Caenorhabditis elegans: one gene and its partners. The protein of the gene in region 2 interacts with the protein of the main gene of each other region in a pairwise test. Each region holds a gene or a part of one and is shown on either strand. Other genes may lie near its edges.

Evidence for each region.
Region 1: the proteins of unc-57 (region 2) and F34D10.4 interact in a two-hybrid assay, tested with the Caenorhabditis elegans proteins (one large-scale study listed by BioGRID).
Region 3: the proteins of unc-57 (region 2) and athp-1 interact in a two-hybrid assay, tested with the Caenorhabditis elegans proteins (one large-scale study listed by BioGRID).
Region 4: the proteins of unc-57 (region 2) and dyla-1 interact in a two-hybrid assay, tested with the Caenorhabditis elegans proteins (one large-scale study listed by BioGRID).

The regions. Positions count from the first base shown.
Region 1 is NC_003281.10:3,733,191-3,741,142, forward strand, and holds F34D10.4 (C2H2-type domain-containing protein), read left to right. Parts: upstream 1-3,411; 5' UTR 3,412-3,433; coding exon 3,434-3,459; intron 3,460-3,504; coding exon 3,505-3,627; intron 3,628-3,742; coding exon 3,743-4,993; intron 4,994-5,040; coding exon 5,041-5,162; intron 5,163-5,442; coding exon 5,443-5,813; intron 5,814-5,996; coding exon 5,997-6,182; 3' UTR 6,183-6,575; downstream 6,576-7,952. Other genes in the region: evl-18 (Cell division control protein 45 homolog), read right to left, coding at 1-380, 860-953, 1,681-1,740, 1,790-1,849; F34D10.3 (Serpentine Receptor, class E (Epsilon)), read left to right, coding at 1,103-1,183, 1,244-1,433, 1,484-1,656.
Region 2 is NC_003279.8:4,672,293-4,681,651, forward strand, and holds unc-57 (Endophilin-A homolog), read left to right. Parts: upstream 1-2,842; 5' UTR 2,843-2,846; coding exon 2,847-3,182; intron 3,183-3,455; coding exon 3,456-3,584; intron 3,585-3,632; coding exon 3,633-3,785; intron 3,786-4,166; coding exon 4,167-4,354; intron 4,355-5,377; coding exon 5,378-5,432; intron 5,433-6,275; coding exon 6,276-6,560; 3' UTR 6,561-7,115; downstream 7,116-9,359. Other genes in the region: T04D1.2 (F-box domain-containing protein), read left to right, coding at 7,379-7,471, 7,521-7,600, 8,374-8,643. UniProt on the Caenorhabditis elegans protein: Involved in synaptic vesicle (SV) recycling in neurons probably by regulating clathrin-mediated endocytosis. By controlling SV endocytosis, regulates the rate of excitatory postsynaptic currents (EPSCs) at neuromuscular junctions and thus locomotion.
Region 3 is NC_003281.10:10,878,707-10,886,381, forward strand, and holds the start of athp-1 (PHD-type domain-containing protein), read left to right. Parts: upstream 1-3,059; 5' UTR 3,060-3,257; intron 3,258-3,654; 5' UTR 3,655-3,663; coding exon 3,664-3,729; intron 3,730-3,780; coding exon 3,781-3,912; intron 3,913-4,478; coding exon 4,479-4,850; intron 4,851-5,384; coding exon 5,385-5,491; intron 5,492-6,501; coding exon 6,502-6,782; intron 6,783-7,675. Other genes in the region: C44B9.3 (C2 domain-containing protein), read right to left, coding at 1-237, 618-863, 1,282-1,389.
Region 4 is NC_003284.9:16,838,277-16,845,125, forward strand, and holds dyla-1 (DYnein Light chain, Axonemal p28 type), read left to right. Parts: upstream 1-2,761; 5' UTR 2,762-2,828; coding exon 2,829-2,927; intron 2,928-3,323; coding exon 3,324-3,454; intron 3,455-3,531; coding exon 3,532-3,601; intron 3,602-3,739; coding exon 3,740-3,839; intron 3,840-3,946; coding exon 3,947-4,072; intron 4,073-4,193; coding exon 4,194-4,288; intron 4,289-4,404; coding exon 4,405-4,527; intron 4,528-4,570; coding exon 4,571-4,642; 3' UTR 4,643-4,697; downstream 4,698-6,849. Other genes in the region: F41G4.8 (uncharacterized protein), read right to left, coding at 5,153-5,350, 5,401-5,478, 5,779-5,871, 5,948-6,225, 6,583-6,664.

The DNA of each region.
Region 1 (7,952 bases), on a different chromosome or scaffold from region 2:
CGAGCTGAACCACGTCGATTCGTAGTATCTCCAGAGAATTGTCCTCCTCTGCCTTTCCCATATTTGCATTTCTTCCCTCTTAATCGCTTTCCGTCGAATCTTTTCCATTCGTTGTTCATATGAGATGTACTCTTGATCTTCATCTTCATCTGAATCTTCTTCATCGTCAGAATCCTCTCGAATCACAGATTCAAGATCAGGAATTTGCAATTCGCTCATTTCACTTGGATTTGCCAATAAATGAATTTGACCATTTTCATAGACATTCTCAATGTGAAATGGTCGATGAGAATCAATGACAAATGCTATTGAAGCCGGCGGGATTTGTAGTCGTGTCAGGGATCGTGTTGCTCCGCAATTGATTAGGATATAATGACATTCTGTAATAAAAATGTAATAAAAAATGTTTTTTTATCAATTTATTAAAGGAAACAGCGGAAATCTTGCTCCGAAATTCCGAAAATTGTGATAAAACTTCTTAGAAATTGATATGGCGGTATAGAGTTCCGCCGGATCTCGACAGACAAATATTTGCTAATTGCGAAAAAGTGTGCGCCTTTAAAGAGTACTGTAGGTTCAAACTTTCGTTGATGAGCAATTTTATCGATTTTTCATAGTTTTCTCGTTAAAAATATGTGTTTATTTTAAAAAAAACACTATATATTAAAAAATAAAATCACATAAATCTAACACATCGATATGAATTGCGCAAAAACGGGAGCTCAAAATTACAGTACTATCTTTCGTATCGAGACCGGATACTGTATTTTTACTCCAATTTTGCCACTTTTCCGTGTGGTAACGGTGACGGAATTATTTTTTAATTAAAAATTGGGGATATTTCGACTCTCTCACATACTTTGCTCTTGTGAATCTGCAAAAATCTTCTCCACCGAGCTCCATCCTTCCACTGCAAGAATCGAGAATGGGATGTCATCACAGCGTAGCAGATGCTGAAATTTGAATAATTGTTCTATCTAATGCTCTCACAGCAACCGCGCTCTCTCGTACGCTTCTCTTTCTCTGCACCCTCCCCCTCTTATTGTCTCCATCGACTATTTTTCTCAATATTATGTGAATAAAATTGAGTTCATTTATGAATATGCGACTTTTATCGGGTCAAAAAGCGATCTGTGTCTTCCTTGACCTTCTTGCCACCACGATTTGTTTGGCTCTGTTTTTGGTGAGCAGAAATGAAAGATAAATTGAAATATTTTCAATAAACCGGAGACAATAATTCCAGGATAATTCAAGTGGCGACAAACAGTACATTTTCCTTTGTCTTATAGTTTTTGCCACAGACGCTGCGTGCTTCGGAGTGCTCTTTTACAACATTTACTCCGAATTACGCACAAATGGACAGCAAAACCTCGGAATCCGCGCTTTCTGGAACTTTTTGTATCCATTCAATAATGTTTACACAGGACAGTTCGGTTAGTACGAAAATAAATATATTTTTTGAATAAAAAAAATCGATTTTCAGTATGCATCACTTGCAAAGTGGTTTTCGAGGTTCTCATCGCAATTCGGCTGACATTTGCACTTTCAATTCCATATATTGTCTATTTCATCCCATTTTGGATCTTTTGTGGAATAATTTTTGTCGATCTCACGCGGAGACTTTACTCCGTTCAAAAGAAAATAAATAATCATTGATTTATAAATAAATTGCATTATTACCGTCAAAATCATCGTCGTGCATAATGCATCCGTGTCGACTGAAACGATTAGAACCACACTCTGAAGCAGAAATAACGTGAAAATGGAGTAAAAATGACTTTAAACTCACTTTATCGCCTTTCTTGATTTTATTGTAGAATTCCTGCCGAAAGTTGTCTTCGATGATCATCTGAAATTTATAATATTGATTTAAAATTATTTTTTATTAATTTCAAAAAGATAATAAGCAAAAAATCTCGAGAAAATCACCAGAAAAGTGTGAAAAAAGATGCGTTCGTTTCAAATTAATGGCTTCGCGCGTTGAGAGTGCGGCAGGGCGCAATTGCATTTCTCGATTTCTCGCAAAAACTGAATTGAAAACCGAAAAATCTACAGAAATAAATCTAAAAGTGGGCAATTCAATTGAAAATAATAATGTGCTGTTGCTGAATGACAGAATGGTGGTATGTTACGTCATCTGGAGTGTTTGGAGAAGACGTCATCGCGCACGCGGTGAACGGGGAGGAGGATTGAGTAGATTTGGTCAGAAATGTAAATATTATACAATATTTACAAATTTTTGTATTTCAATTTCAAACTCATAGAAAATAATATGAATAAATACACATCAGGATTTTATGAACACAGACACGCGTAGGTTACATTCAAGGCGAGGAGGTTTTTCTTTCGTAAGTTAAATATCTACGTTTATTGAGTTTTTTCAGTTACTGTATTTAACTTTTTGTTTTTTTCTCTCAAATACCCTCCGGGGGAAGGAGTCCTCCTTATTTTCTTTGATTATTCACAAAATTCAGCTAATTCAGTTGAAAAAGCGAAATTAGTTTAAAGGAGCACGCATTTTCTGGAGTTGTGGGTCTCGCAACGAAAATGTTTTGTTTTGTTTTAGGCGAAATTCAAATATTTAATTTCTGTCGTTTTCAATAATTTAAACAATTTTTGGTCGGAAAATTCCGGTTTCAAATGCATTTAATTGAATTCCTGGCATGTTTCTTTGTTCCCTGCAGCCGCTCGTATCTAGACCACGTGTTACTGGGAAAAGCCATGTGACGCACCGGCGGCGCGTCACTTGGCTTCACACCGCCCATCCACTCCCGTAAAAAGCGGGTATAAAAACCGAGTAGAAGAGAGAGAAAGCTCAGTTTATTTTGGAAGGACGAACGAACTCTTCCTTCCGCTCATACCACGTATCTATTCGTTTTTCTTCCTTTTTGCCACGATTTATTGGCAAATCGGGGACGCTCGTTGATTTTTCTCGCACATTTTTTCTATATTCATAAAATCAAAAGGGTGCTGTAACACTTTCAAATTGCAAATGTCGAGGCAACACTATTTGTTTTGAGTGTATTCCTACAATATTGTACACAATGAGAATATTTTACACAAAACACGGACGCCACCATTGAATATTCATACATGCGCTCTACTCTGGCCATTTTTGTAATCTACTATAACATTTTTAATTTTTAAAGGAAGCTACAAATTCGTCGATTTTTACCTTATTAAAAAGTCTAGGATATAAGAGAAAAACAACTTAATTTTATGAAACCTGCCATATAAATTCGAATTAATAAAATGTTTAACGTGACCTTAACCTCGCTCCCCAGCTCGTGGCACATATTTATGGATATGCCACGTGTACAATAGGGTCCTCTCGAATATTTTCAGTTGCACAATTCTCCGTCTTAATTTTCTTTTTTCCTTATATGCTCTCAACACAATTCTAATTTTCAGCTCAATCAATTGACGGCGGCATATGGAACCTTATATTAAGGCATTAATGTGAGTAATGCGAATATTTCATCAACAAAAATAGCTTTTTTGCAGAACCGATAGTTATGAACAGAATAAAAACTTCTTCAGATGTCGGTTCATGAAAAATCGGAGGGGCGATGAGTGTAACTTCGTCGGCACATTTTCCGACACTCTGACCCATTTTTCGATACACACGTAAGTTTTGGCGCCGAAAAATGTTTGCAATTTTTGAGATATTGGTTTTCAAAGACTCTTACTTCCTTGAAAACAAAAAAAATTAATTAAGGCTTAACATTAGTATTTATTTTAGGAAAGTGTACTTGTTCGAATGCGAGGGATGCACAAAACAAGTGGTCGACTTCATGGACCTTGTGGAACACAGATCGCCTTCCACCGGCGCAATATGTAGAGGAACAGTCGAGAATATGCGGCAACTTCGACTAGAGCGCATGAAGACGATTGATGCTCACCGCTGCCGAAACGTTTTCATTGTAGGTGCGACGCGAAGCGAGTTTGAGGATTATCTGAGATATAAGAACACTCACGGAAAGCAACAGTCGTTCGGCACACCGTTGTACAATGATAATGAAGAGGAACAAACTCGACATCAGCCGCAACAGCAGAGATCTTCAACACCACTTGCACCGACAACTCCAACTCCGCCACCACCAACACAAGCTCCTACAAATCACCGAGAACTGCTGTTAGACTTTCCACTTCCAGTAGATTTCAGTCGGCCACCGCCAGTTATTCCGCCGGAATACTTCTTCAATGCTCCGTCTGTATCCCAACAACATCATCAAAGGTCCCAGTATCAACATTATGCTCCACAACCACAAGGAAATCGTACTCCTGGCTATGTTGCACGTCCCATCACTCCTCACGGCAACCCGAAGCCACAGAACTACCAAATTGGAGGAGGATGGAATCCTTATGCAAATCCACCATCAGCAAAGGATGCACCCGCTACTGTCAGAGATAATAGGTCTCCGTCGAGACCTCGAGGCGATTTTCGTAGAGACCGCTCCCAGTCCAGAGGTGCTGAAACTCATTGTCAACAAAGCTATCAACCACCAGCGGATCCACTTCAAGATCGTTCAAGAAATGGCCGATCGCCACCAATGGGAACTCATTCGCATTACGGACAAAATGCAAAACCTGCTCAAAATGGAAATACTTCCCACTACGAGCTTCGCTCCCGGTCCAGAGGTCGTGCAACTGTACCAATGAATGCTAATTTCCGTGCAGGGCATCAAACAGGATCTTCATCTCGCCTGGAGTCTCGATCCAGAGCTACAGCGTCAGTCGGTGCTCGCGCTCCATCAAGGGCTCCAGCCCCGTCTTCAACCTCCAGAGAAACTAGGTCGACGCGTCGTTCTCCGTCAAAGGGTCCAAGCGCACCGGCATACACTCTTCCTTTCGGTGGTTCAACTCCCAATCACGAGCCGATGGATTTGGAGTTGGAAGATCCAGTTCCACCACCACGCCCGGATCGACCTCGTGCATCGACATCATTGAATACGTCGGTCTCTCAAATTAAACGCAATGAAGTGCAAACCGGGTAGGTGATTTTCGTGTCGGGATCCAAAAAACCTGCATTTTTTTCAGAGTCTATAATATCCGTCCCCAACGAGTCCAGGATACAGTCCAAAAGGCTAGAACTGCTGTTGGCTATGCGGGCACTCGTAATAGGAGTCCTCTGCGAGAAGCCGATGCTGAAGAGATTGCAGGTAAGATTTTGAAAATAGAGAACCTCGAAATATGCTAAATATTGAATCGAATTTTTAGTTTTTCTTATTAGTTTCTTATGGGGTTATTCAAGTAATGTAGCAAAATGTATTTCAATACATTTGTGACGTCACAAATGTATTTGAATACATGTTTTTATATACTTGAATACAGTTGTGACGTAATTGTTCTACACTTTTTAATTTTCCGATATTACTTGGATAGCCCCATTACATTTTAAAATCTTTTGCAACATTTCTTTAATAAATCGATAATTTTCAGCGACGGAAGCGCTAAAAAACCGATTCGCAGTGAAAAGCAGAGGAACCGCAAAAGCCAAAGCAAATTCAAACCGCGGAGCTGCACTTCTTGAGTCAATCGAGCCAACCAATCGAAAAATCGAAACAGCGGAGGAGCGGGAAAAGAAGCAGAACGATTTATATTTGGAAAAAATGAGAAAGATTAGAGAAAAGCAACGTCTGGAACAAGAAAAGATAGACGATGTGGTTGTCGATTCAGGGAATCTTCCTACGATTGCTCCAAATGCTGCCGGAACTCCACCACCGCAGTCGGTCGCCGCCATGCTGGAGCCGAAGGAAGAGTCTGAAGAAGACGAACCGTCGACCTCCGCAAGTGTTCCTTTTCAAAGAAGGGTACGGGTCGTTTTTATAGTTTCGTGATGTTCAGATTTCGGCTAGGGAGCAAAATTTTTAGATTTTTTTGAAAAAGGTAGTATTTGATATAGATCGGTCTGCTGAAAACTTTGAGCTCTAACTATCTGAAGAACTTATTGTAAACCCTTTTTTAAAATCATTCCCAAACAATTATTTTTCCAGATGAACTCTCCTCAAACTCATGCGACAAGCTACGCGAGGCGCAGTGATGGAAAGCGTCACCCATCGAAATCGCGAAGCTCCAGGGATGACCGAGCCAATAGGCGTGACCGAGATCGGGATTCTGACGGACGCTGTGGAGATGACCGCCGACGGGACCACCGCAGCCATCCGTATGAGCGACATTAATCGAGGTTCTCATGTACCATCATTATTGACTCGATTTTTTAAAAGAAAGGAACAACATTTCATTTTTCCTTCAAAGTATTTATTTTTTTCTAAATTTTATCCCCCTTTCAGGAGAAAATAGATCTCCAACCCCCTCCCCCGTATTTATAACATAATAGTATTTTCCCCATAATGTGCGATTTTTAACGGATCTCTCTTTCTGTCCACATTAATTTTTTTCTAAATTTTATTCCCCTTTCAAGTGAAAATAGATCTCCGACCCCCTCCCACTTATTTATAATATAGTAATAGTATTTTCCCCATAATGTGCCATTTCTGTCCACATTAATTTTTTTGTGTGCCTTTTTCTTGTCATCCGCTTTTTTTTGTTTTTATAAAAGTAATTACCAGTTTAACAAGCTTTTCCTCCGACACTTTCAGATGTACGTGGTAAGAGTCGATCTATGCTGTCTATAGGCTGTTTTGGCTTAAAAACCATTCCAAAGATGTGAGTGCGGATGAATCTGCGAAAAATTTAATTTCATCTGAAAAATCAGAAATTTGCGACGCCACCTAGTGGCCGCGAACAATAATCGGTAGGTCGCGTTGCAGACAAGGAGGTAGGCGTGGGTCGCCTTGTAAGCCAGGAGGTAGGCGTAGGTCGCCTTGTAGGCAAGGAGGAAGACGTAGGTCACCTTGAAAACTGCAAAAAGTAGGCCGCCTTGTAGGTAAGGAGGTAGGTGTAGGCCGCCTTGTAGGCAGAGAGATAGGCGTAGGTCGCCTTGTAGGCAAGGAGTTAGGCGTAGGTCACCTTGTAGGCAAGGAGGTAGGAGTAGGTCGAGTTGTAGGCAAGGAGGTAGGCGTAGGTCGCCTTGTAGGCAAGGAGGAAGGCGTAGGTCACCTTGTAGGCAGAGAGGTAGGCGCACGGCCCGGCAAGTGGTACATCCATGCAAATGCGCTCTACTGATAATTTGAGTGTAGACCAGGTTTGGGCGCGTGATAACGAAAAAAGCTTTGGTCCAAAAAAATTTAGAATTTAATTTCGGACATTTTTTATATGCATCACAAAAAAACTGGACCAACCGTTTTTGAGATACACGCGCCCAAACGTCCAGGTATACGGTAGACAAATTGCGTACAGGTACCACTGCTCGGGCCGTGAGGCGTAGGTAGCCTTGTAGGCAAGGAGGTAGGCGTAGGTCACCTTGTAGGCCAGGAGGTAGGCGTAGGTCGCCTTGTAGGCAAGGAGGTAGGAGTAGGTCGACTTGTAGGTAAGGAGGTAGGCGTTGGTCGCCTTGTATTCAAGGAGGCAAGCGGAAAGGCTAAGATTGAGCTTAAACATATGCCTAGGCATTTCCAGGCGTCAGTGCCTACAATTTGAGATCTATCAATACGGCGGAATTGATTTCCAAGAGGACATTTTGTGATTGGCCTTCCCTCTTAAAAAGCTTCTGCATCTGTAAATAAGCTTCTCCTCCATCCACCATAAAGTGCAAATCGGGAAGTGTCAACAATTAGCAAAGGAAGACAGTTACCCAACGGAAGGACCCAAACGAAAATAACGATGCATTGAAGTGAGAAGAAGTAATAAAGGATGATCGGCTGGGGTCGTCAGGTTCTTAATAACAGACACAAAAGAAACACACACACAACCGCATACTTACTGTAGAAAAGACGAAGAGGAGGCGGTGACGATTGAAAAAAGAGAGAGAGAGAGACCTTGGATTCACACAAGAATCAGTTCATTTGTAAAGTTTCGATCAAGTTTATTTAAAGCTTCATCTTACTGCC
Region 2 (9,359 bases):
CGTCATATTGCGGACCCGTTTGCAATGAAGCACCAGCCAGCTGACATTGCGGTGAACGCCTTTTGTTCGATGATGTCACCGTTTTCTCTCGTTTTTTTTTGTTTATTTTGGTATCTTAAAAATTACATTAACAGCAACAGAAATAGCTATTTTAATGACGTATCTGTGTACCTTTCTGCTTTAATATTATGATTTTCGAGAAATATGAGCATTTTAAAGTTTAATTAGATTCTGAAGTCCTGATGTTTTGAAGTTCCTCATTCTAGAATGCATTCTGGTAGTTCTAAATTAACGGAAAGCATGAGTTTTAGATTTTGAGCGGTTTTTTTCTTTTAATTCCCTGCTTTCCCAATTTTTTTCAAATATCCGCAAAAATATTCCACATTTCTATTTACTATCACATGATCCTACTACTAATTACTTTTAAATCGAATCATCTAGACTTCCTCAACTTCATCTGACTCATCTTCAAATGTAAAGTTCCTCGGCGTCTTTCGCAATGTTCTGAATGTTGTCGATTTCCTCGCGTAACCTCTGCTATCTGTTAACGGGTGTCTTCTTATCAGTTTCACTTTTTCTTATTTTTTTAGTTGTCAATCTCTTGCTAGTAGTTCCCTGATTTTTGAAGAAAAAAGCTCGTCCCAGAAATCTTGCAGAGCTGGAAAATCATTAAAATCCATATTCCTTCTTTGGAAGCGGTCATTTTCAAAACTTGTATATCGATTATATCTTCAAATTTTAATTTTTTAAAATCATTTTACCCAGTTGTAAACAAGTTTTTCATGAACAAATAAAAAACAGCATGAAAAGCATAATCTTGGTAGACATAAGGGTTAGAATTTTGCCTAAAATTATAAAAATGGACCGAATAAATTCAATAATGTAAAAAAAATGAACAAACATTTCTCAAGTTTTCAGTTTTCCATAAAAAATTATAAATTTATGTAAAATTATCGATTTTTAGACCAATTTTGAAGATTTTCTTTCGGGTTATCAAGTTTTCTTTACGAGAAAATGTCATAAATTTTTTTGCAAAATTGAAAAATCATTGGTTTTTTTTCTTGAAATTTAGAATAATTTTATAAATTTTTAAACACTTTTTTAAAATTCGACCATTATGCTCCATTTTCTAGCATTTTAAGCAACCCCGTCTTTAAAAAGCTGCATTTAAATTATATTTAGCTTTAAAACTCTTTTTATGCTAGGAAAGTGAAATTTCGTTAATCATTATCCAACAAATGCTCTCTGTCGGGATAAAATTTAACTTTTCCAATTGTTTTCCAGATTTTTCCAAGTAGCAACCCTTGAGTGTGCCCAATCATTATGCCTATCCACACACACAAACATTAAGTAGTGGGTAGGCTAGAGTCTTTCATGCACAAGCAAATATACACCGATTCGTCTTTTTTCCCTCTATCTGCCACATAGATAAAAGAAAGAATAACCTTCTCCTCCCCCACAACACCACCACCACTAACGGCGTCTTCTTCGTCTCAGTTTTCTTTGCTTTACGTAATCTACGTCTTCTATTTTTTCGGGGTGCTCTCTTCGGTTGGAACTATGTGTGAGAGTAGTGTGTTTCGTGTGTCTGTGTGAGTTTTTCCTCATCTTTCTCTCTCTTTTCGCGCGGAAAGAGGGCGCCCGAGGTCGGAGAAAAAAAATGAAAGGCAGAGAGGATGGAGGACACAGAGGAACGAAACGAAAATAACTGAATCGATACATCTGTGGGGTTGGCGGTGTTGAAGAGAAGAAGACGAAGAAGAAGATGAGGGGGTGGAGCTCTCCGTGCACAACGGCTTCTCCTCCCCCATCTTTCTCTCCCGTGCTTCTCCTTTTACTAGAGTCCGGCGTTGTGTTGTGTGTGTGTGTCCCCGCCTTTTTCCGGAATACGAAAGTAGGTCTAGTTAATGGTTAACTACCTCTCTTGCTCCGAAGCAGGCTTTTTCTTTAATTGCTTCTTGCAACTTTTCTGAAGCTCTACCTTTCTACTGGGAACTTGTTTTCTTTGAAATTTAGAGTTTTTAAAACTTCCTTCAGTTCTCATTCTCATGCTTTATAACCATAAAAGTGTACATCAGAATAAATCCTAGATCATAAGATCATTCACATTAGCATTTCTTTTTGGAATGCTTTTTCCGAGAAAACTGCACTTTTGAGGATTTTATCTTCGAACTGAAAATTCGAGTTGTACTTTTGAAAAAGTTTGTAGCGATCTACCTGATGTCAGTTTTATTTTAGATTTCCTGCACAGTTTCTTTCATGAATTTATAATGTTCAACCTTTAGTTCTCTCAGTTTTAAGGTTTAATGCAAAGTTTTACATACAGCCTGAGGGTCTGTGGATTTTTTTGTTTTAATTGATAGAAAATACCAGATTATACCTATGAAAAATAGTTTTTAAATTTCAAAATTTGATGAAAAATCCGAAAAAAGTGCCAAATTTTGCTTATAATCGAAATTTTTCTAGAAAACCGACCAAAATATACAATAAAGATAAATATTTTGATTAAAAAAAACTGTATTCCAACTGCTGAAACAAGGGTGGAAATTATTTTTACACTTTTTAATTTATTATTACAAAATCATTAGAATTTATAATTTTTCAACAGTTTTATCTGATCTTTAAGTGGTATTTTCTTTCATTTAAAATAAAAAATCCACAGGCGAAACTCCAAGAATTCAAGAAGCTCATTTTATCGAAACTTTCAAATCTTGCTCACCGTGATTCCCAAGTGTTTTAAATCTAAAGGAAAATAAGTCTGGTTTTTGAATATTTATTTTCAGTTGTTTTAATTATCAATTAATTAACATGTTATTCCGAATCTAAAACTCAAAATTTTCAGAAAAATGTCGTTGTCGGGGTTACGTAAGCAATTCAACAAGGCGAATCAATACCTTTCGGAGACGATGGGCGCCGCAGAGCCAACAAAACTTGACGATGTGTTCAATGAAATGGAGAAAAATGTGGATACAACGTATAATTTAATTACGGATCTCGTCGCCGGAACAAATGAATATCTTCAACCAAATCCAGCTACTCGAGCAAAAATGGCCACACAAGTTGCCCTGTCAAAAGTTCGTGGAACTACAAAAACGTCACCGTATCCACAAACAGAAGGAATGTTGGCTGACGTCATGCAGAAATATGGACAACAATTGGGTGATAACAGCGATTTGGGAAAGGTTTGCCATCCCTTTTGGAATTTTAATTTCTGAAAAAAAACCCATTTTTTAGCAACATTTGTCAATATTTGTTCTGTGAGCAATTTCTGAAAATGTGACCAAAATACAGCAAAAATAAAATTACTATTTATTTTGTTTATATTAATAATTTAATTGAAACATTAGGTTGATATTAGAAAACCACTACTTCGGTATTTTTTAGATTAAAATTTTTTGCACGGCTTCAAAATCTTCTTAATCATAATTTTAAATTACAATTTTTTTCAATTCCAGAGCCTAAACGATGCTGCAGAAACGTATCGACAAATGGCTGATATCAAGTATCAAATGGAGGATAATGTTAAACAAAACTTTCTCGATCCATTAACACATTTGCAGAATAATGAGCTGAAAGATGTGAATGTAAGCTTTTTTGCGTAAAAAAGGGTTTATTATTAATTCATTATTCAGCACCACCGCACAAAACTGAAAGGACGTCGACTTGACTACGACTGCAAAAAGCGTCAGCAACGACGTGATGATGAGATGATTCAGGCGGAGGAGAAGCTGGAAGAATCAAAGCGACTCGCTGAAATGTCAATGTTCAATGTGCTTAGTAATGATGTGAGTTTTACGATTTTTTTTTGGAAGTTTTTACTATTTTCCCCTATTAGACTTGCTATTTGACATCGGTTACCCTTAGTTTTATTTTTAAGAAGGATTATTCTCAAACTTACGAATATAACAAAAGAAAAACGGGAAAAATCCGTTAAGATTTCGAATTTTTATGTCAGAAAAATCAACGAAAAACCTTCAAAATTTAACTAGCGAAATCATAGGCCACGAGGATTGTTCGAATTTTGATCCTGTTCTATACTATGTTTTTAATCAGTATTTTATACAATTCCTTTCAATATAAGCTGTCAAAGTTTAATTTTTTTTTAATCTGCTGAAATTTTTTTCCACTTCCCCTTTTAGATATAATCACAAAAAAATTCTTTTCAGGTCGAGCAAATATCTCAACTACGAGCCCTCATTGAAGCCCAACTCGATTTCCACCGACAAACAGCCCAATGTCTCGAAAATCTACAGCAACAACTTGGCCATCGAATCAAAGATGCAGCTGCCAGGCCTCGTGAAGAGCATGTTCCATTATCAGTTCTTGCAAATGAGAGCAGAACTCCAAGATCCAGGTTGGTATAAGCATGAAGAGTGAGAAAATGCATGTTTGTTGTGAGATTTTGAACGCTCAAAAAGACCTAGTTTTTAAAAAACAGCTAATTTCTTGAGATGCACTTTTGAGATTCAGCTGAAATCTCCAATTTCGCCAACATTTTATTGAAATGGAGCTGCCCCAAAAAGCTGAATAAACTACCAAAAAAAATGTTGAATATTGGAGGATTAATTGAAATTTCGGGCCGCTGTGGCACGGAAAAATTGGCAAAATTGAAGTTTTTTAAAGCTAAATTTAGATTTTTGTTTTCTTCTCAAAACTTTGAAACGCCATGAAAATTGTACGAGAAGTTAGAATAGAATTAGTTATTTTTAAGAAATTTTGAATTTTGAGTACAGAGATTATTTCATAAATCTACCTGAAAATTAGTTTTTTCAAAAGATACGAAAAAATATATAAAGCCGGAACTAGGCGTTTTCCATTTTTGTTTTCGATTTAAAAAGGTCCCACGCATCATAAAAAGAGAAAACCCCCTGTGCTCTTAAGAAACGGAAAAAGCACTGAAGCATCATTCACAAGTAATAAAAAGGAGGAAAACATATGAAGCACAGACATAGACATGCAGAGTCTATGATTGATTACATCGCATTATGTCTTTTTACGGCCGGAGGAATACTTTTTTGGAAGGAATATGAATGTAAAAAGATCGTTTAATGACTGATTGACACGAAAATATTGAAAAATTGAAATGTTTTCGGTGTTTTTTAAGCTAGACTAGTTTAAGTTTTTTTGAAAGTTGAGAAATTTCAAAAAAAATTATTAAAAGAAACAACGTAAATTTTGATTTTTGATTATCTTTGAAAAAACCGAAAAATTGAAAATTATTCTACGACACAACCAAAAAAACATTCTAAATTTAATTTTAAAAAAATAAGAATTAAATTTCGTTACAGTACCCCCCGCTACAGTACTCCCTGATTCATATTGTGATTGATTTTTTATTTTTTGCATGCTAAAAGCCTCTTCCAAAACATCTCTTCAGTTTCAGATCGCCTGCTCCATCGGATATGAGTCACAATTCTACGGCAGCCGCAGCCGTACGTTTTTTTGTTTCAGAAAAAATTGAAAAAAGTGCGACTTTTCAACAAAAAAAACACGAATTTTGGAGATTCAGTTTTTCGGATTTCAATTACTGAAATTTTTTGGAAAATGGTATAATTTTAAAAAAACACTTGTAAAAAGACCGGAAAATGTTTAAAAAATGTTTTTGAAACATTTATTGAAAAATCAAACTTTTCAGATATTTTTCGAGACGAGAAAACTGAAAATTCTTGATTTTTCAGAAAGCCGAAATATTGATCAATTTTCTGGATAAAATTAACCAAATATTTCAATTTTTTAGTTTTTTCTCATAAAAAACATATAATTTTTCTTTAAAAAAACAGAAGTGTCTAAACTTTTAAAGAAATTTTTCGCAAAATCAATTTCTATTCGAACCGACAAAACTAAAAATTTAAAAACGAAAATTCCAGATTTTTCGGTTTTCCGGAAATCCTAAAAATCGGAAAAATATTGGGAAAATTGACAAAAAATTTCAAACTTTTAAAAATTTGGTTGATGAAAAAAAAAAGTCAATTTTCTTCTTAAAACGGGTAAATTTTCTCGAAAAAAAACTACAAATTAAAAAAAACCAATTTTCTAAAGTCGAATTTTTTGTTTGTTGAAAATAAGTTACTTTTATAAGAGAATTGTGTATTTTCCCATCAGCATAAAAAATTTGAAGATTGAATTTTTTAAATCAATTTTCTAAATCGAAACTATTCGTTTTTCAATTTTTATTTTAAAAAATCGAAAAAGCGATACCCTTGATTAGAATATTTTGTTTTTGAATAAAAACCTAGTAATTCAATTTTCAATCCAATTTCTAATATTATGTCCAGTTTAAGATGCCACCACAAAATGGAGGAGGAATAACACAAGCACCACCATCATATCAAGGACCTCCACCAGGTGGACTTCCACCTCCACTCTCCCAGCAGCAGAAGCCACAATGCAGAGCTCTATTCGATTTTGATGCTCAAAGTGAAGGAGAACTGGATTTCAAAGAAGGAACACTGATTGAGTTGGTATCACAAATTGATGAGAATTGGTACGAAGGACGTGTGAATGGAAAAACTGGATTATTCCCTGTTACCTATGTACAGGTTCTAGTGCCTCTTAAATAAAAAAAAATGTATTTCTCCCTCCAAAACCCAGTCAATTCTTTCCATTTTTTGCTGTTTTATTGCCAATTTCTCGTTTTCTCCCCAACTCCAAAGCCATGCTCCTCATCTTTGTCTCTTGAATTTTATTTCACAAAAATATTTTATTTCCCTTTCCAAATCTCACTTTTTCTCTAGGAACCCCTGAAAAGTACTCATTTAGAAGAGAATGGGCTATGGTCTCTATGAGGCTAAAATAGTTAATTCTCCTGATCCATTGTGCCGAAATCTTTGTATTTATTAAAACACTACTTGCTTTATATACATCCACTACTTTCCCCCAGTCTGCCACACCCGATGCGTTTTCCAATAGCAATACCCTGACCCACATTACCATGTATTCTATGTACTCTCTACACTACCAAAAATGTGCATTTATCAAATCTCCCTTAAAATAGCAGCATGTTATTAGTTTTTTTAGCTTTATTTAGTAACTTATTTTCAACATCAAAAAATTCATTGCAAAATTACTTATTTTCGTAATTACTTATTTTCGAGTATATGAATTTGATTTTAAACTATTTTTTTTTTGAACTCGGAGATGGAAAAAAGTCAAATTTCTTGTCTTATCAATTTTAAAATTGTTTAAAAAAAGAAGTGGATGAACAAGAAAATCAATAAAAAACTGAAATGAAAACGAAATTTCGAAATATCCGGAATATTATATTGTCCACGAGGAGTACTGTAAACAGACACCCAGTTATGTTATTAGTGACGTCATATACTTGCACCATCTGCTCTCATACCTGTGCACCATATATCTCATCGATTTTTTTTTGAACATGAAACGAATGCAACTATCATTTCGTCCATTTTCTTCACTATGGAATTCAAATCGAATTAAAAAAGGTAGAAGTTGTTCCAATCAGAAGAAGGTAAATTAAATTAATTTTTATTTGTTAGATCAAAAACTATAAGTTTCAGAAATGTAACTCTTTCAATCTACTCCAACTACCATACCTAGCATTTCGAATTGTTATTCATCAATTAAGTATTTTTTCAGTGTAAGTTATCCCGTGGTGTCAGACTGTCCCATTATGGTTTGATCTACAAAAAAGGCGGGATTTTTTTGCCCAAAAAATGTGACGTCAGCATTTTTTTAACCATGCGAACCAGCATGGGACAGCCTGACACCACGTGAGTTATTCCAACATTACATATCGTACACCCTTCAATGTTAGTTATAACATAAAATCACATAAAAATTACGGACAAATCGAGCGAGAGTGAGATCAACTACATTAAAAACGTTTTAATTTTAATTTTGGCTGAATTTTTTTTTAGAAAATCGCAGTTTTAATAGTTGTATTTTCAATTCTTTCTCGACGCTCTAGAGTATTTGAACAAAATCCCAATCTACAGTGTTACAAAAGCCAGTCTGAGACAAATACTGCCCAGTTACGGAAATTCGTGATTCTTGACCGGTCTCGGCACGAACGAAATTTGTAGCCACTGTACCCAACAAGAGTTTCGCAATTTGCTTCGCTCTTTTTCTTAAAGGTTTGCCCAAACAATATGGTTGAGCCCCCGTAAAATGCCACGCGATACTGGTAAAATCTCCAAATTATTGCTGGTACGGTAGCTGCTAATTTTTGGTCGTTTCGAGACGCGGTGACGTAGCGCAACTGGATAATAGAGCAAAAAGCAATATTTTTCACAATTAATTAAACAATTAAGAATACGATCAGTTCGATCAGTTCAGTTCTTTTAATTCCTAGTTAACCTTTTTTCTCAAGTTTTTACTTTGGAAATACATTTATATTTGTTGATGTTTCAGATTACAATTATCTCAAATTTCAAGAAGAACTTTGAAGAAAATACAACAAGTGAATCGGAAAGTTTATAAATTATTGGTCTACAACCATGAATTCACGCCTTATGGTGGCCAAGAACATCTTAAGACTTATTCAGTTCGGCAACTCGTTGTTATCGAGAACATAAGTGATTATCAAGAATTTTATGATATGATGTGGTCACAAACTACTGTATCCTATAGATTCTTGACAACTCCTCCGGTGACATATTGGATCCGAAGCGTAATAAAAGAGTACGTTTCATCTTGAATTATGTCTGAAACTGATTCAGTTTCAAGTTGTTGAACCTCGTTTCCACCGGGAACGGAGGACTCAAAGATGGTTCCCAAAGACTTAACACTTCTCCAAATATGGAATTTACTCTTGAGAATACATTACATACCGTATATCCTCTATTAGTATGGCGCCTCTATTAGTTTTGCACCCCTTCATTTGTTCCCTATTTTTAGGTATTCAAAATTTGAATTATAAACTCGTTCTACAAATCAGGAAAATTCTTACAGACTATGGTTTAACAAGTAAAAATTGGCAAAATATGAGTAGAACTCGGACAATTTTTGCGTATTAGTCGTAAAATTCGCCCACTTTGGTTTATAAGTTATTGAAATTGATGATATTATGCTATAACTTGATGGAAAACATGAGAAAAAACCTGTTCGAAAATTAGTTTTGCACCCTCCATTAGTTTTGCATCAAATTAGGTGTCAGAAAGTTAGTTTTGCATGCCTTACTAATAGAGAAAATACGGTATATGTTATAACCAGGGCTTCCATGTAGGCGTCAAAACGCGTGCCTGCCTGATCTTATTGTTAAGGCGATCTTCGCCTGCCTCTCCCGTCAGTCGCGCCTTATGCTAAAACATCAAAATAATATAAATGATAAACTTAGAAGTTTGTAAATTCATGTTAAAATTCAGATAAGAGACGGATGGCCCGTGTGGGGCGAGCAT
Region 3 (7,675 bases), on a different chromosome or scaffold from region 2:
CACACAGAGGAGTACGGTAGTCGATGTGAGAGCCAGCAAAGAGAAAAACGCAAGAATGAGCATTCCGATGAGCAATGAGGTGTTGTTCGAAGTTCCGAAAAATGGAGAAAACGTGGTGGATGGTGGTGCTGGGGTTACTGTAGTTGTAGTAGTTGTTTGTGAATCATCTACACACCATGGGCATACTGTATTGGATGCTTGAACTTTGACGGTTGACATGAAGCATTGACCTTGGATCTGGAAATTTTGGGGATTTTGGAACAAAATTAGACTTAAAATTCAATTTTTAATGGGGTTTTTAGCAAGAAGGTTCGAAATAAAATAAAAATATTCAATTAAATATCAAAATCTTGTTTTTCTATTCGAATTTTTGTGAATTTTGCAAAAAAAAGGCGGAAAAACCGTGCCATTATTTTTTTGGAATATTTTGAAATATTTCATTTTTTCAGCTAAAATCTGATTTTTTCGCTAGCTTCGAATTTTTTATAAGAATTTTTTTATTCTAGCTTTTTTTTCGATTCGAAAACTAGGTTTTTAATTAAAATTCACAACAAAATCCGCCGAATTTTTCCGAATTTTTTGCCTGAAAAATCTGAAATTTAGATCAATTTTCTAACCTGCAGTGTTCTTTCCAAAAACTCTGGCGTTTCCCCAGTAGAATTCTGGAAAACCCGAATATATCCAGATCGATCACAAGTTCTAGCCAATCCATATACAGGATCCACTGAAACAAATTGAATAGATACCATCCAATCATTTAATCGTCCTTTTGGCCAATGGGTTACTGTAGGTCGAGCGATTCCATTTATATACTCGAAACTTGATGAACGACGTTCGTGGTGGGGAAGGATTCGTTCGTCGAGCTGGAAAATACTGAATTAATTTTTTTTCAAAGTGATCTACTAAACCGCGCTCCTTTAATGGCCCGAAACTACCAAAAATTCTGCTAAAATTTGAAATTTTGGAATTTGTTTTCGAAACTTTTTTACCATTGTATTGGGCTTTTTTTGGGTCGCAGTGAAGAAGTAAAATTTTGAATTTTCAAAGAAAAAAACCAAAAATCGAGTAATTTTATGGCAAAGATGTATATTTTGCGATAGATTTTTCGGGGAAAAATGGTGTTTTAAAACATATTTTTGACGCGAAGTTCAAGGAAAATTGACTTTTTCGGCAAAATTGGTTGTAAAAACTCTGAAATTAGCGCGAAAATTAACCAATTATGTTTTTTTCCAAAACTTTTGGACTATTTTTCAAGGAATCTTATAAATTTCCAAAACTCACAGTCATATAGCTCATAGTTGCACATCCACTAGTCTCTGTACCCCATGAGGTCTCATCAATTGGACATGGTTTCCGTTCCACAGAGAGAACATTCACGTGGAGCCACATTTCAGAGATGACCGGGCTCACGGAGCACACCAATAATAGTAGAATTCCATAGAAGATGGGCGACGACATTTTAGTGTAGAGTGTGTGTCTGAAAGAAGGATTTTTTGTTGAAAATCAGGAAAAAAAACGGAAAAAAATTAAAAATTATTTTAAAAAAGTTGCAAATAAATCAAAAACTGCCATTTTTTCAATTTTTCGGAGAGAAAATCGAGAAAATGCAACTTTTTCTGCAGAAAAATATTCAAAAATTCAAAATTTTTCCAATTTTTCGGTGTTTTAGAGAAAATTTCAATTTTTACTTCGGAAAAAAATTTTTTCTGCAACTCGAGGAAATCGTTTTTTTAATACGACCAGAAAGGAATTTTAGGAAAATTGGAAAATTCTGAAGCTTTCAGAAAATTGAAAATTGCCAATTTTTTGAAGAGAAAAGCTAAAAAATTAAGATTTTCCCCAAAAAAATATAGGTTTTTTCGAATTTTTAAAAAAATTTCAATTCAGAACCAAACATTTTCGGTGATTTTTCAATAATTATTTTTCGAAATTTGGAAAAATCCAAAAAAAAGTGTGAATTTCAGTGAGAAAAAAAAAGCTAATTTCTGCAGAAAACAGTGAAAATTTGAGAATTCTAGGAAATATCGAAATAAAAAAAAGAATGTCGATTTTATCGGATAAAATAATACATCGACATACTTTGAGAGACTGGAATAAGAATAACACAATGACTGACTAATTGGATGCATGGTCAGGTAGAAGGAGGAAGGGGGTGTCACCTAATTATAGGCGGAGCTGGAATTACAGAGCGTCTCGAGAGATGGTTATCTTGTCGAAGGACGGGATTAGCACCTTTTACAACGTGTAGATGTCTATTGAAAGAACAAAGGATTTGATTTGTGATGGGCTGAAGATTAAGATGTTTATTGCCTTGTTTTGGAGCTTTATCTGGGCAAAAGATAAGATTTTTTTATACAAAATTCGAATTTTTGACGAAAAACGTAATAAATAATTGGATTATAGAGGATTATAGACCCAAAATGTGCTCGAAATCTGAAATTTTGTCCATTTGTCTGAGTTGCAGTAGTTGATGGAAGGTATACCTATTATAATTTGGTAGATGCACAAAAGTTGGCAGGTGTGTGGTGCACACATATCGACCGTAAATGTACCAAAAAAACACAAAAAGTATGCAAAAACAGCTACTTCACTGACAAGTAAACAAAATTTAAGATTTTAGGTTATTTTTTGCGATTTTGATTCTATTTTCAATTGAGGAGCAGTAAATAGCGGTTCTGGGTACTAAAAATGTGCTTATTTTTGTTTATTTTCCGCTTGAATTCATTTTTTCAACCCAGAGGTACCACACAACATCATCTCACTACATTTTTTGTGATATATCAAATATAATATGATTTTAAAAAAATTGAAAATACTTTTAATGGAAAATCTGACAGAAACCAAGATAAAAAACTACAAAAAACTGGGAAGAACTGGGAAAAAATTTTTTAAAAAAGTTTTCTAAAATTAAAACTACAGTACACTTTGTTCAAGGCGCATGTGCCGTTTATAACATCGTGGCGAGACCCTCGCCGAAACTCTGTCCATGCTGCTTATGATTACTGTAGTTTATTTATTGTTTAATTTTCTTAAATCTTTTATTTGTTCAATTTCCTCGTTTTCCTTCGCTTTTGTTCCAATTTTCTGTTGAAAAAAGTATATTCATAACAAAAATTATTTCTTTCTTTCCAAACAAGCCAAAAACAAGGCCATAAACCGGAAATAGCCGACAAAAGAAGTGGAGATGAGTTTTAGGGTTCGAATAGGACTGCCGATGGTTTACAATGCCGATTGTGACTGTGGAGATGGCTGTAAAGGTGCGAATAGTGATTCTTTTCAAGTTAGCCGCTGGAAATTTCTCTGAAAATCTGAAATTTTACCTGAAATCTGAAATTAAATTCAAAGAAATGCGTGAAATTATAAATTTTTATGAATTTTCTTCAATTTCCCCTAAGAAATCAAGATTTTATCCGTAATTTCCGAAATTATAGGAAAAAACCTAATTTTTTTCGGCTTGACGCAACTGCGCTCCATTGCGAATTACGAAGAAATAGTATGTGAATCGAGGAGGGCACAGACAGCTAGACATCATGCTTCTCATGAAAATTCATTCGAATTTCTGCGATTTCTATGACGATTTTTCATTTTTTCTTTGATATTTTAATTTAAAATGCATTTAAAAAATCATTTCTCATTGATTTTCTTAGTTTTCAGAAAATATCAATGCAGAAAAAAGAGAAAGAAGGCCGAAGAAAGCTGAAATACGACTCAAACGACGGTCTTCTGCCGGTAAAATTGGCAAATTTTCACTTTTTCGCCTCAAATTCCAAATTTTTGTAGGAAATTCGCCGAGTTTGCGGTTTTCCACACCACATTTCCGAAGAATTGTCGGCGAGAGGGTCTGGAAAGAAGAAAAAGCAAGTGGAGGAAGAATGGAAATGGCCTGAAGCTCAAATATGCGGAATTTGCTCTGTAAATACATTGATTATTTGGAAAAATATTGGAAAAAACTAATTTTTCCCTGAAAAAGGCAGAAAAATTGCAAAAAATCATCAAATCTTTGAAAATTTCGATTCAGAACTGGAGTTTAAAGTAAAAAAACCAGATAATGCTGAAATTATTTGATTTTTTAAAAAAGTTTTTAGTCCAAAAGAGCTGCAAAATTCGAATTTTTGATGATTTTAGCATTTTCAGAATAAAAATTCCCTTTTAAAAATTTATTATAGGCCTAGGTTCAGGCTTGGGCTTAGGCTTGGGCTTGAGCTAAAGCTTAGGCCTAGGCTTATGCCTTTAGGCTTAAGCTTAGGCTAAGGCTTATGCGTAGGCTTGGGCTTAGGCTTGAGCTAAAGCATAGGCCTAGGCTTAGGCTTAGGCCTAGGTTCAGGCTTGGGCTTAGGCGTAGGCTTAGGCTCATTATATTATTTTTGCAAAATTGGAAAAAAAAATCCCAAATTTTAGAAAAATCTCTCCACTGAATTCATAAATTTTCAATAAAAAAATGCCCAGATTTCCAAATAATTTTCCATGTTTTTTTGCAGTCCGGCGGTAACATTCTATGCTGTGAACAGTGTCCAGCATCCTTTCATCTTGCTTGTATTGGATACGAATCATCCGATCTTCCAGACGACAATTTTTACTGTAATCGATGTAGAAATCTTCCGGAAAACGTTCGGCTCTTTCCACCGGAAAAGTGCTCGCCGTCTGTAAATCCAGTGCTCCGAGTTGAAAATGAAAATCACCGAAATTGGGAAGCTATTGAATATCATTGTAATCGACTTAGAGATGAGGAACAGGCCGAGAAAATGAAAAAAGATGTTGCTTATGGGCCAAAAAGTGAATTTGCAGAAATTCAAGACTGTTTTCGGGATAAAAATCTACTGAAAGCACTTGGAATGGCTAATCCCATGGATGTAAGGGAGTTTTTTCAAAAAAATGAATTAATGCTTCAATTGAAAAATTAATGAAAATCGAAAATTCTGGATTTTTTAAAATTTAATTTTTTTTTTTAATTTTCGATAAAAATAGTTTTAAAAAATGCGAAATTTTATTAGCAGAAAATATTTAAAACACTTTTTCTCCCGAAAAACGTTGAAATTTTCGGCGTTCGATCCGATTTTCGGGAAAAAAGTGAAAAAAAAATTAGAAAAATCGGGATTTTTAACACTGTAGGATAGGATAGAAACAGAAAAAAACACAATTTATTTGCAGAAAAATGTACAAATATTTTTGAGTATTTTCGACCTTTTTTCCTGAAAATTATCGTTCTTGAGACCATTTTTCCGATAAAAATATTAAAAATAACGCTTTTTTAATTCTTGTTTCGAGTTTTTGTGAAAATTCTTTATTTCTGTGTCCTTCAAAAATTTCCAATTTTACAATAATTTTCTCGAGAAACCTAGATATTATTCCAAACATTTATAAATAATTTTTCCAACATTTTTCAGTATACAATACCACCGGAATTCCAAGCAGATCGTGATTGTTTCTCTGGTGATGCAATGGAAGACAAGAGGCCAACTATAATGGGAGAAGTGTGTGCTGAGTGCAATTTGTACGTTTTCGTAGCAAAAATGGACCTAAAGTGCCAAAAAAAAGAGGAGTTTCCTACCAGAAAGTATTGAAATTGAGCGATTTTCTCTCGAAAAATATCCGAAATTTTTCTTCAAAAAAAATCATTTTCGATTCTTAAAATGATCTCAAAATCTGAACTTTTAGATTTTTTTCTGAAAAACACGATAGAAAAATCAAAAAGAAAAATCAAAAATCAAAAAATTTCGTTTTTCGATTTTCCGATTTTCCAAAAATTAGCTTCACATTTTGGACATTATTCTTATTTTTAGAAGAAATTTGGATTTTTTTCTTACAAATATAAGCAAAATTAAATAAAAAATCGAATTTTATGGTTAATTTTCTGAACATTTTTTTCAATTTTTCGATGTTTCGATTTTCACTGAAAAACATCGAAAAATCGAAAAATGGCACCCTTGATCCCTTCTTGAAACTCCAATTATTATTTTTTTTGCAGAAAAGACGACTGGACACGAATGCTAAAATGTGACTTTTGTGATCTAATTTGGCATCAAAAATGTGTTTTTTTTCTGGAAAAAAAGTTTTAGCTAATTCAAAAAGTCAAGATTTTAAAATCTTAATTTTTTTTTGAAAATCAAAAAATCACCTGAAAAAGACAGAAATTACCTATTGAAGAAAAATAACATATAGTTTTCGAATATTATGTGATTTTCAATTGTTAAGAAAAATTCAATATTTTTTCTGAAAAATTCTGAAAAAAGTAAATTTTAATTTAAAAAAAAAATTTTCTGTAAATTTTCTGAAATAAATTTTGTAGTTGAGGAAAAATTTCAAAAATGTTCCGAAAAATTTTCTTAAAAATTTCAAAAAACTTTCGGAAAAACTTCAAATCAACTAGTTGATAGAATGAGAAAACTTAGAAATTTGTAAATTCCCTTAAAAATGCAGAAAATAAGCAAAGGTAGGCAGGCATCAGGCCCTGAAACCGCGCCTGCCTACCATATAATTTAAAACTCCAATTATTTTTTGCAGAAAAGACGACTGGACACGAATGCTAAAATGTGACTTTTGTGACCTGATATGGCATCAAAAATGTGTAACACCTCCACTTATTCATGTTCGTGCATATTTCTATTGGATGTGTCCAAGACATCCAGAAACTGTCATTGATAGTGTTTTAATTGGTGATGAGATTTCACGAGAAGATCGTCGACGGCTTTATGATAAATATGCTGATGTTGAGCCGAGCTACGAGATTTTTGAGGAATTTTGTATTAAAACTGAACAATTTCGAATGAAATCGGAGGTTTTTGGTGAGGTTTTGCTTACTGAAAATCTTTTTTAAAAAACTTGAAATTTCTAGAAATATTAAAAAAATTTTCTAATGTTTTGGATTTCTTCAAAAATCGTTTTTTTTTTAATTTTTAAAAAAATAGAAAAATGCTAAAAACTGGGAAACTTTTAGATTTTTCCCAGGAAAAATGCCAAAAATCAGAAATTTTCAAATTTGTTTCTGAAAAATGCAAAAAACTTTGAGGTTTTCAATTTTTTCCAAAAAAAAATCTCCGAAATTCCGAAATATTTAGATTTTTACATAAAAAACAGAAAAATCTTTAAAATTTTCAATTTTTTCAAAAAAATGCTAAAAAACTCGGAAAATTTTAATTTAAAAAAATATGAAAAATTCCGAAATATTTAGATTTTTCTAAATAGTTACAGAAAAAATCAATTTTTTCTAATGTTTTGGATTTCTTCAAAAACAGAAATTTCAAAATTTGTTCCTGAAAAATGCAAAAAACTCTGAGATTTTCAATTTTTTTCAGAACATTTTTTATATTTTCACATTAAAAAAGCAGAAAAATCTTTAAAAGTTTCAATTTTTTAAAGAAAAATGCCAGAAAATCAGAAATTTCCAAATTTGTTTCTGAAAAATGCTAAAAACTCTGAGATTTTTGGATTTCTGCGTGAAAAAACAGAAAAATCTGAAATATCTACGAAAATTTTTTCGGAATTTCCAGTTTTTTTTTCTGAAAAAATATATATTGTTCAGAAACAAACTGTTCCTGAAAAATGCTAAAAACGCTTTAAAAAAACCGAAATTTTTGAATTTTCAACGAAAAAAATTGCCAATTTTGTAATTAAAAAATCGATTAAATAAAATTTTTAAAATTAAAATTTTTTATTGCTAAAAATTTTTTTTTTTGAA
Region 4 (6,849 bases), on a different chromosome or scaffold from region 2:
GCTGGCTTTTTGGTTCGTTCATCGGATCCAATCCGACTCGGTTCGGTGCACCATGTTGACACTCCAATCCGAGAGATAGCCAGAACCTCGGAGTGACAAAAAAGACGACGGACGGAACGAGAGGAGGGATGAGCGGTGTGAATATAACAGAACAATTAGTACGAATAAAAACCTGTTTATTGATCAGGAAAAACGTAGAGAATGTGCTGCAGGGCAGCCAGGAGTCGAATAATAATTAATTAGAAGGAGTACGGCATCACACGATGGGAGAATCGGAGGAGAGTGACGATAATTGCATCATCAAATTTAGGCCAATAATTAATGTGAGCAATGGCTAAAGAGAGCGCGCTACGACACTCCGTTGTTGTCCGTGGAGCGCGCCTGCATTGCTTGGCGGCAAATTCAAATAATAATTGTTTATTAAATGATTATTAGAGCGAATGTTCTTGGAAGAATACGGAAGATATTGTGAGTATTCGGCGGCGGATGTTAATTGTGGGATCGTGGGTGATTCTGACCAATTAATTAACTATACATCCGCAAAGTTGGGATGCGCCGACTCTCCGGAGCCCAAGTCACAACATTCCACTTTTATGATAATTACATAACGAACTTTTCTGTTTTTTTTTTCAATGTATTGCTGATACTGTTAGCAACTTTTCAATTGATTATTCATTCCTTCAAAATTTCAGATTTTAAACTTTAGAAATTTTGGCAAAATTTACATTTCAACAACTTAATCAGTTTCGGAAGAAGCAACAACATTTTGTTTAAAAAAAGGGACCGAATTTGAATCGAATGATTTTTCCAAACATTTTCTGTAAAATTCGAAAGTTAGAGGAAATGTTTGGTAAGTTTGCCAACTGTTCAAACAGTTCTAGAAACTTTTGAAAATTTGATAAACTTTTGAGAAGTGTTTGAATATTCAGGAAAGATTAAACAATTCTGAAAACGCAATAAATTCCTGATATGTTCAGGACAATATAGAAAAGCTCTATAAACTCATAGAAAGCTTGCGTTGTTTGGAATTCGATAATTGCAAAATTTGGCAAATAGATAAACCTAGAAAAAAAGATACATTTTCATTTTTTTTAATTTATCGTAATTTTTCTCGATTGTCTCAATGCTAACAAAACAGGTCAATAACAAAATAAATCTCGCAAAACAAAAATTTTGGTAATTTAAAATTGCCATAATTGCTAAATACTATGAGTACTACACCCCGTCTAGGTAAAAAGTAGCAAGTAATACTATGATTATCATTTTGAGAACTGTTTGTACTTTACATGGATTTCTCAAATTTCTGTAGTAATTTCGATCGACCAAACTTTTAAACTTAAATAAAAACTCATCTTCGTTCTTTCGTAAAACCCGTGACAGTCAGTAGATCCTTCATTTTAAGGAGGTTCTGTTATTTATTTGCTCTCTAGTTAGTTCTAATAAACAAAAATTTCAAAGTTCCAATGAATGAATAACTGGCAAAGAAGCTAGTTCCGCCTTTCCGCCAGTGATCTGGTTGAAGGCAAATTGCTCAGCTCCGAATTCGAATGCAGTCATGTGTGACCACAAGAATCCAGCAGCGATTTATAGGAAGAGGGCAACAGTCAATTTACGAAGTGGGATTGGAGTCTGAGTGCAGTGTAGAGTCGGGTCAAAAAGACAAGCTAGCTGTTCATTACAATCATAGCAAGAAAGAGTTGTTTAGCGAAACAAAAAGTCCACGGGTGTCAGTGGTTTGACATATGAAGACAGAAAAAAGATGATAATGATTGAGCGCATTTCTCACTCTCGCAACATTTTCAAGGTTCCCAGGCTGCAAACGTTGCATTGGAATGACTTTTGCATGTCGCAGACTGCATTCACTTTCGATTCATTTGCCCCCAATTGCTTTATTCCAGAATTCTTGTTTAGCATTCTAACATGCTCTAATAAACAATTATACTCACGTTTGGAGCAGTCGGCGGCTCGGAGATGGCGACGGTGTATTTGATTCACGCATCGATGGGTCCGGAGTTGGAGTGTCCATACCTAAACTTGTAATGAGTGTATTACAGTTGTTATTATAACCAAGCAAACAAGTTTGAGACTATGGAAAACCAACTGATTACAGTAAGACCAAATCATAACGTACAACCAAAAAGTACAACGTACAAAAAAAAAAAAAAAAAAAAAAAAGATACAACCCAAATTCCAGGAAAAGTATTCAAGGTCACTTTTTGATACAAAATTAAAATTTTTGAATAAATTTATAATAAATTCAGTTCCAGAATATATTGAGTTTGAATTTTTCACTACTTTCATGAGCCGTTAAGTTGCCTCAAAATTTTAAGGTTAAACTTTTTGGAAAATTTAAGGTTAAACTTTTTGTTAAATCATTGGAAATGTTTTTTCGACTCGGAATTTCATCCCAACATGCCATAGAAACAAGAAATCTGAAACTCAACAAAAAATGTTGAACGAGCTGCGCACTTTTTAGACAATAATTTTTGAATTTTTCTCTCAACTTGTTCAGTGTAAGGATATTTGTAAAAAAAAACCTGGAAGACAACTTTTTTCTTGGTAGTATGCTTAGCTAATTAACTCACTGATAAGATCAACTACACCAGTCCAATTTTCAATCCACATGGTTCAACGCGTTTTAGGAATAAATCATGAATGCAACTGATGCGAACATCCTGTTGAAAGACGAAGGAAAGGCAGAGCTCAAACGTCGTTGAATTTCATACGAAAATAGTTCGACTTCACAAAAGCATTTATTTCAAAATTTGGTAAACTCTATAAAATATAAAGCGTTTTAACTTCAAACGTTTTTATTACTCTGACGGAAAATGGCATTGGAAAAACCAAAATTTGAAAGTTCGCTGACTTCAACAATTCTCGGCTCAACTGAGACTCCTTCTAATATTTTTTTACAAGTTAATCTTGCAGTAAGTCTATTTTATCTTTAGTAATGTTGTCCAAAAATGTATAGAAGTCCAAATTTTAATTAATTTCTAATAAAGTTAAAAGTGGAGTACCAAAATCTGAGACTTTGTGTTTTTAGACCCAAAATGGTCCAAAACAAAGTTCTGGAAAAAAAGCCCAAATTTGTTGCTTTTTTCACACATTTTGGTTTTGAATCTAATTGTTCAACTACTGTGCGAAATCAATACACAAAGACTGTTTTTTTTTAATTGTTTTTCTTTTAAATTTTGCTACACTACTTTCTCACAGCTAAAATCATATGCGGTTGAGGTTAATTTCAGATTTATTCACATGCTTATGATTTTCACTTCAAACATGTCACATCAAGAAAAATTAAAAATTGACAAACTGATTTTCAGGAGGAAACAACTTCAAAAATAGAAGGAGAAACCAATGTCACGTTTGAAAGTATCATTGAAAGCGGCGAAGACGATCACATTGAAAGTGAACACCAGCTACAGCTTATTCTTGATTGTATACTTCCGCCGAGGTGGGTAATTTGATAAATTGGCAGCTTAAGCCAGAAAACAAAAACAGAATTATGATCATGAAAGACACATTTTGTAGAGTTTACGAACAAAACGGAAAACTATGGAAACAGCAAGCGTCGCTTCATCCTGCTACGCGACATGACATGGTAATTTGGTGTGAATTTGAAAAATATTTAGATATTTGTGAAACTAGAAGGTAACTTGTTAATAGTTAAAACCAAATGCTTAAACCTCTTTTTTAAATATAAACACGAATGTTAGAAGTACGTTCAAAAAAATTTCAGATAAATCTCGAGGAAAAACTGGAAAGCGAGTTAAAAGACCGGGGAGCAAAACCATTCGGAATATGCCCAATTCGACGCGATCTTTACGGCCAGTTTTTCGGTCAGTGTTCCTTTTTTCAATTCATCCAAGACCCATTTGTCTTCTTTCAAGCGCATAATGATGCCCTTTGACAAAAAGACAGGTGTGTGAATCTTCTTTGCTTCCAGATGAGCTAATCCGTCAAGTCAGTGTCTCCTGTGTGGAAAGAGGTCTTTTATTGGTTCGCGTTCGTGATGAAATTCGAATGACTTTTGCAGCCTACCAGAATGTACTAGAGTCGGCGATTGCATATGGTAAGTTACAATTAATAGTTTTCAATTTCAGAATATTAAAAAAAAAACTTTGTGTGGATTCTGACTACTTCTTAGCGCCTAAAAAAATACAATAACCACACCGAATTGATTCAATTTTCAGGTGTCAGAAAAGCGCTGTTCATTGAAAACGAACAAACACGGGCGACGACTGAATGGAAAGTGCAAAAGGACAAGAACAAGGAGCTTCATCTAAAGGTGAAAAGAAAACTATTACTACAGATGAATAGAAACCCATCGGGGAAAAACGGAGGGGGGGGGGGGAGAAAATGGAAATTAGCGGAGGAAGAAGCAATGTATGTCGGATGTTGCAGATTGCCCAATTGGAGAAAAAATTGGCAACGGATAAAATTGTAAGCGAGGAGGAATTGGAAATTGTGGAGCAACGAATGAAGGACACCAACGAGCGCCTTGTAGAGTCAAATAGAATTCTCAAAGTTAGGCTTGAAAAATAATTATTTCAAAAGTCAAAGTTTTCAGAACCAGCTTCAGTCGATTCTTCAGATGGATGATATGTCACATGTCAAAGTCGGAGAAACAGTCGCACATTAAACATATTCAAATGTATTATATTTTTGTTTCAACACTATACATTCTAATAAAACATACTCAATATTTCTATGTATCACAAAATTGTAATCTTGGAGAAAATCCTTACATTAGAAACATTTTCAAACAATACAAACTTTTTTTTTGCGCAGGGCCTGTTGCCTGTATTCAACCTGCCCGCCTCACGCCTCTTTGACCGCGCCCGACCCTTTCCGGGTTTTGCGCCGCACTAAACAAAAAGCGTGGCTCGCGGCGCGAGACAGGCGCGGCAGGCGTTTTGGCGTCTGCATGGAAGCCCGTTAGCGTTTTTTTTTTAATTTCAGATCATGTTAACAATCAGAGAAGTGAAGTTCAGCATCAAAGTATTTCAGTATTTAATTTTGTTATTTGTAATTTGTTAAATTGAGGAAAACCACAATTATTCAAAATACACCAGAATACTACAGGAAGTGATTTATTTTCAAAAATATATGAATAAAAATTGAGAATAACAATTTCAAAAAGCTTTTTGTTTTATCGTGAGTTAAAATAGTAGTTGATTTTCTCCTGGACTTCATCTGAAAATGGGAAAGATCCACAAAGAAAACTGTTATCTTCGTAGGTCGATTTTCTTGAATACTCTTGTTCATTCCAAAAACTGTTTTTAAATTGGATTTTCATGCTATTGAACCATACTCGGTCAAGAGTTGGTAGGAGATATTGGTAGACCATCTGAAAATATGAGTTTTGATTGTGTAGAGATTTTCAAATGCAGAGCATACCATTTCATGAATTCTGTGATTCATTGGAGCCGTACTGGTAAGACCAAAATGAATAGCTCGTGCGAAGTACTTCCTTGTCTGTAAAATTAGTGTTTTCTTTCAACGAAAAAAAAAGGTTTTCGGTATTTGAAAATATCAAGTTTAAAATATAATATTAAATGAAAAATACTATTATATTTGTGTTTGGCTAAAATGTTTAACTTTTCTGACTAAAATGAGCACAAAGGACTGATTGTCGAGAGCAGATACGATGTGTGCTTTATCATTCCATAGCAACTCAACTGTGGAAATCCTAGAAGTACCCGAAACTTGTACCCAGTTCAAAACACATCGCAACAGAACACATGAAGGTGTCATATGCCTGTTCCCGTGACTTACAAACTCTGATTTGTCATAAATTCTTTGCAACAATGTGAAAGCCAGGCAGTCGAGGTTGTCTCGTGTCAAATTGTAAACACTTGGCCAGATGTTCTGAAAGTTAGGATTAATGTATTGCTTTTTTTTGCTCCGTCTTTTTGATTCTTTTGTGTCTAACAAAAAAACTCACGTCCTGATCACAACCAAAAGGTCGAAATGCAAAGTACACAACTGTCATGAACTTTTCCGTCGAGTTTTGCAGAGTTTCTTGACTTAGCCCATCCGTGCTCAGAACCTGTGTAGTGAAAACCTGTCTTGCATAGTCTGGGACCGAAGCGTCTAGAGTTAGAATCTCGTCTTCGTCGACATGTTCCTTTGCATTTGCAGTGAGTTGGTAAGCTTTCTGTGTAAGGTAGTGAGGAATTCCAACATTTTCAATAAGTCTTTGGAGCCAATATTCATCGATCACTAGAAAATAAAATGTGCAAGTTTTTTTTTAGTTGCAAATGAAACTTGAACCTTTACTTGATCTATTTGAAAAAATTCAACTGAAATATACCTACTTGACACTAACAAAATGGCGCAAGTTTTTTGGGCAAAAACACATGGTCGAACATTTGCAAACGGTTTCTAACTGACGGGTACAATTTTAATAACTTTATGTTATTTCATCAAAAAATTTCAGAGGGCCAAAACTGACTAAATTGAGGAGGTCCCCTATTGAAATTGTGTGACCAAAAAGTACACGTTTCCAAATTTTTTGCTTGTCGGATATAGAATAATTTGTAAATTGTCTAAATGTTTATCTAGAAGTTAAAGACTTACAAGCTTCTTCGCCAGAGCCCTCAAAATCCTGGAATTGACAACTGACAGCTGCAGACAATAGATACAAAAACTTGAAAAGCATTTTGCAGTATGAAGATTGAATGTTCGCAACTTTTGAGCGGGCGAAGAGTAAGAAAGAAAAAAGAAAAAATCGGGAGAAGAAAGGAGGAGGCAAGTGTGTAATGACACTTGTGAGTAAAATTAGTTTATATTATCCTGCACACACCACCCCCACCAATCTGACTCATTCTGGATCTCTTTTTGTGA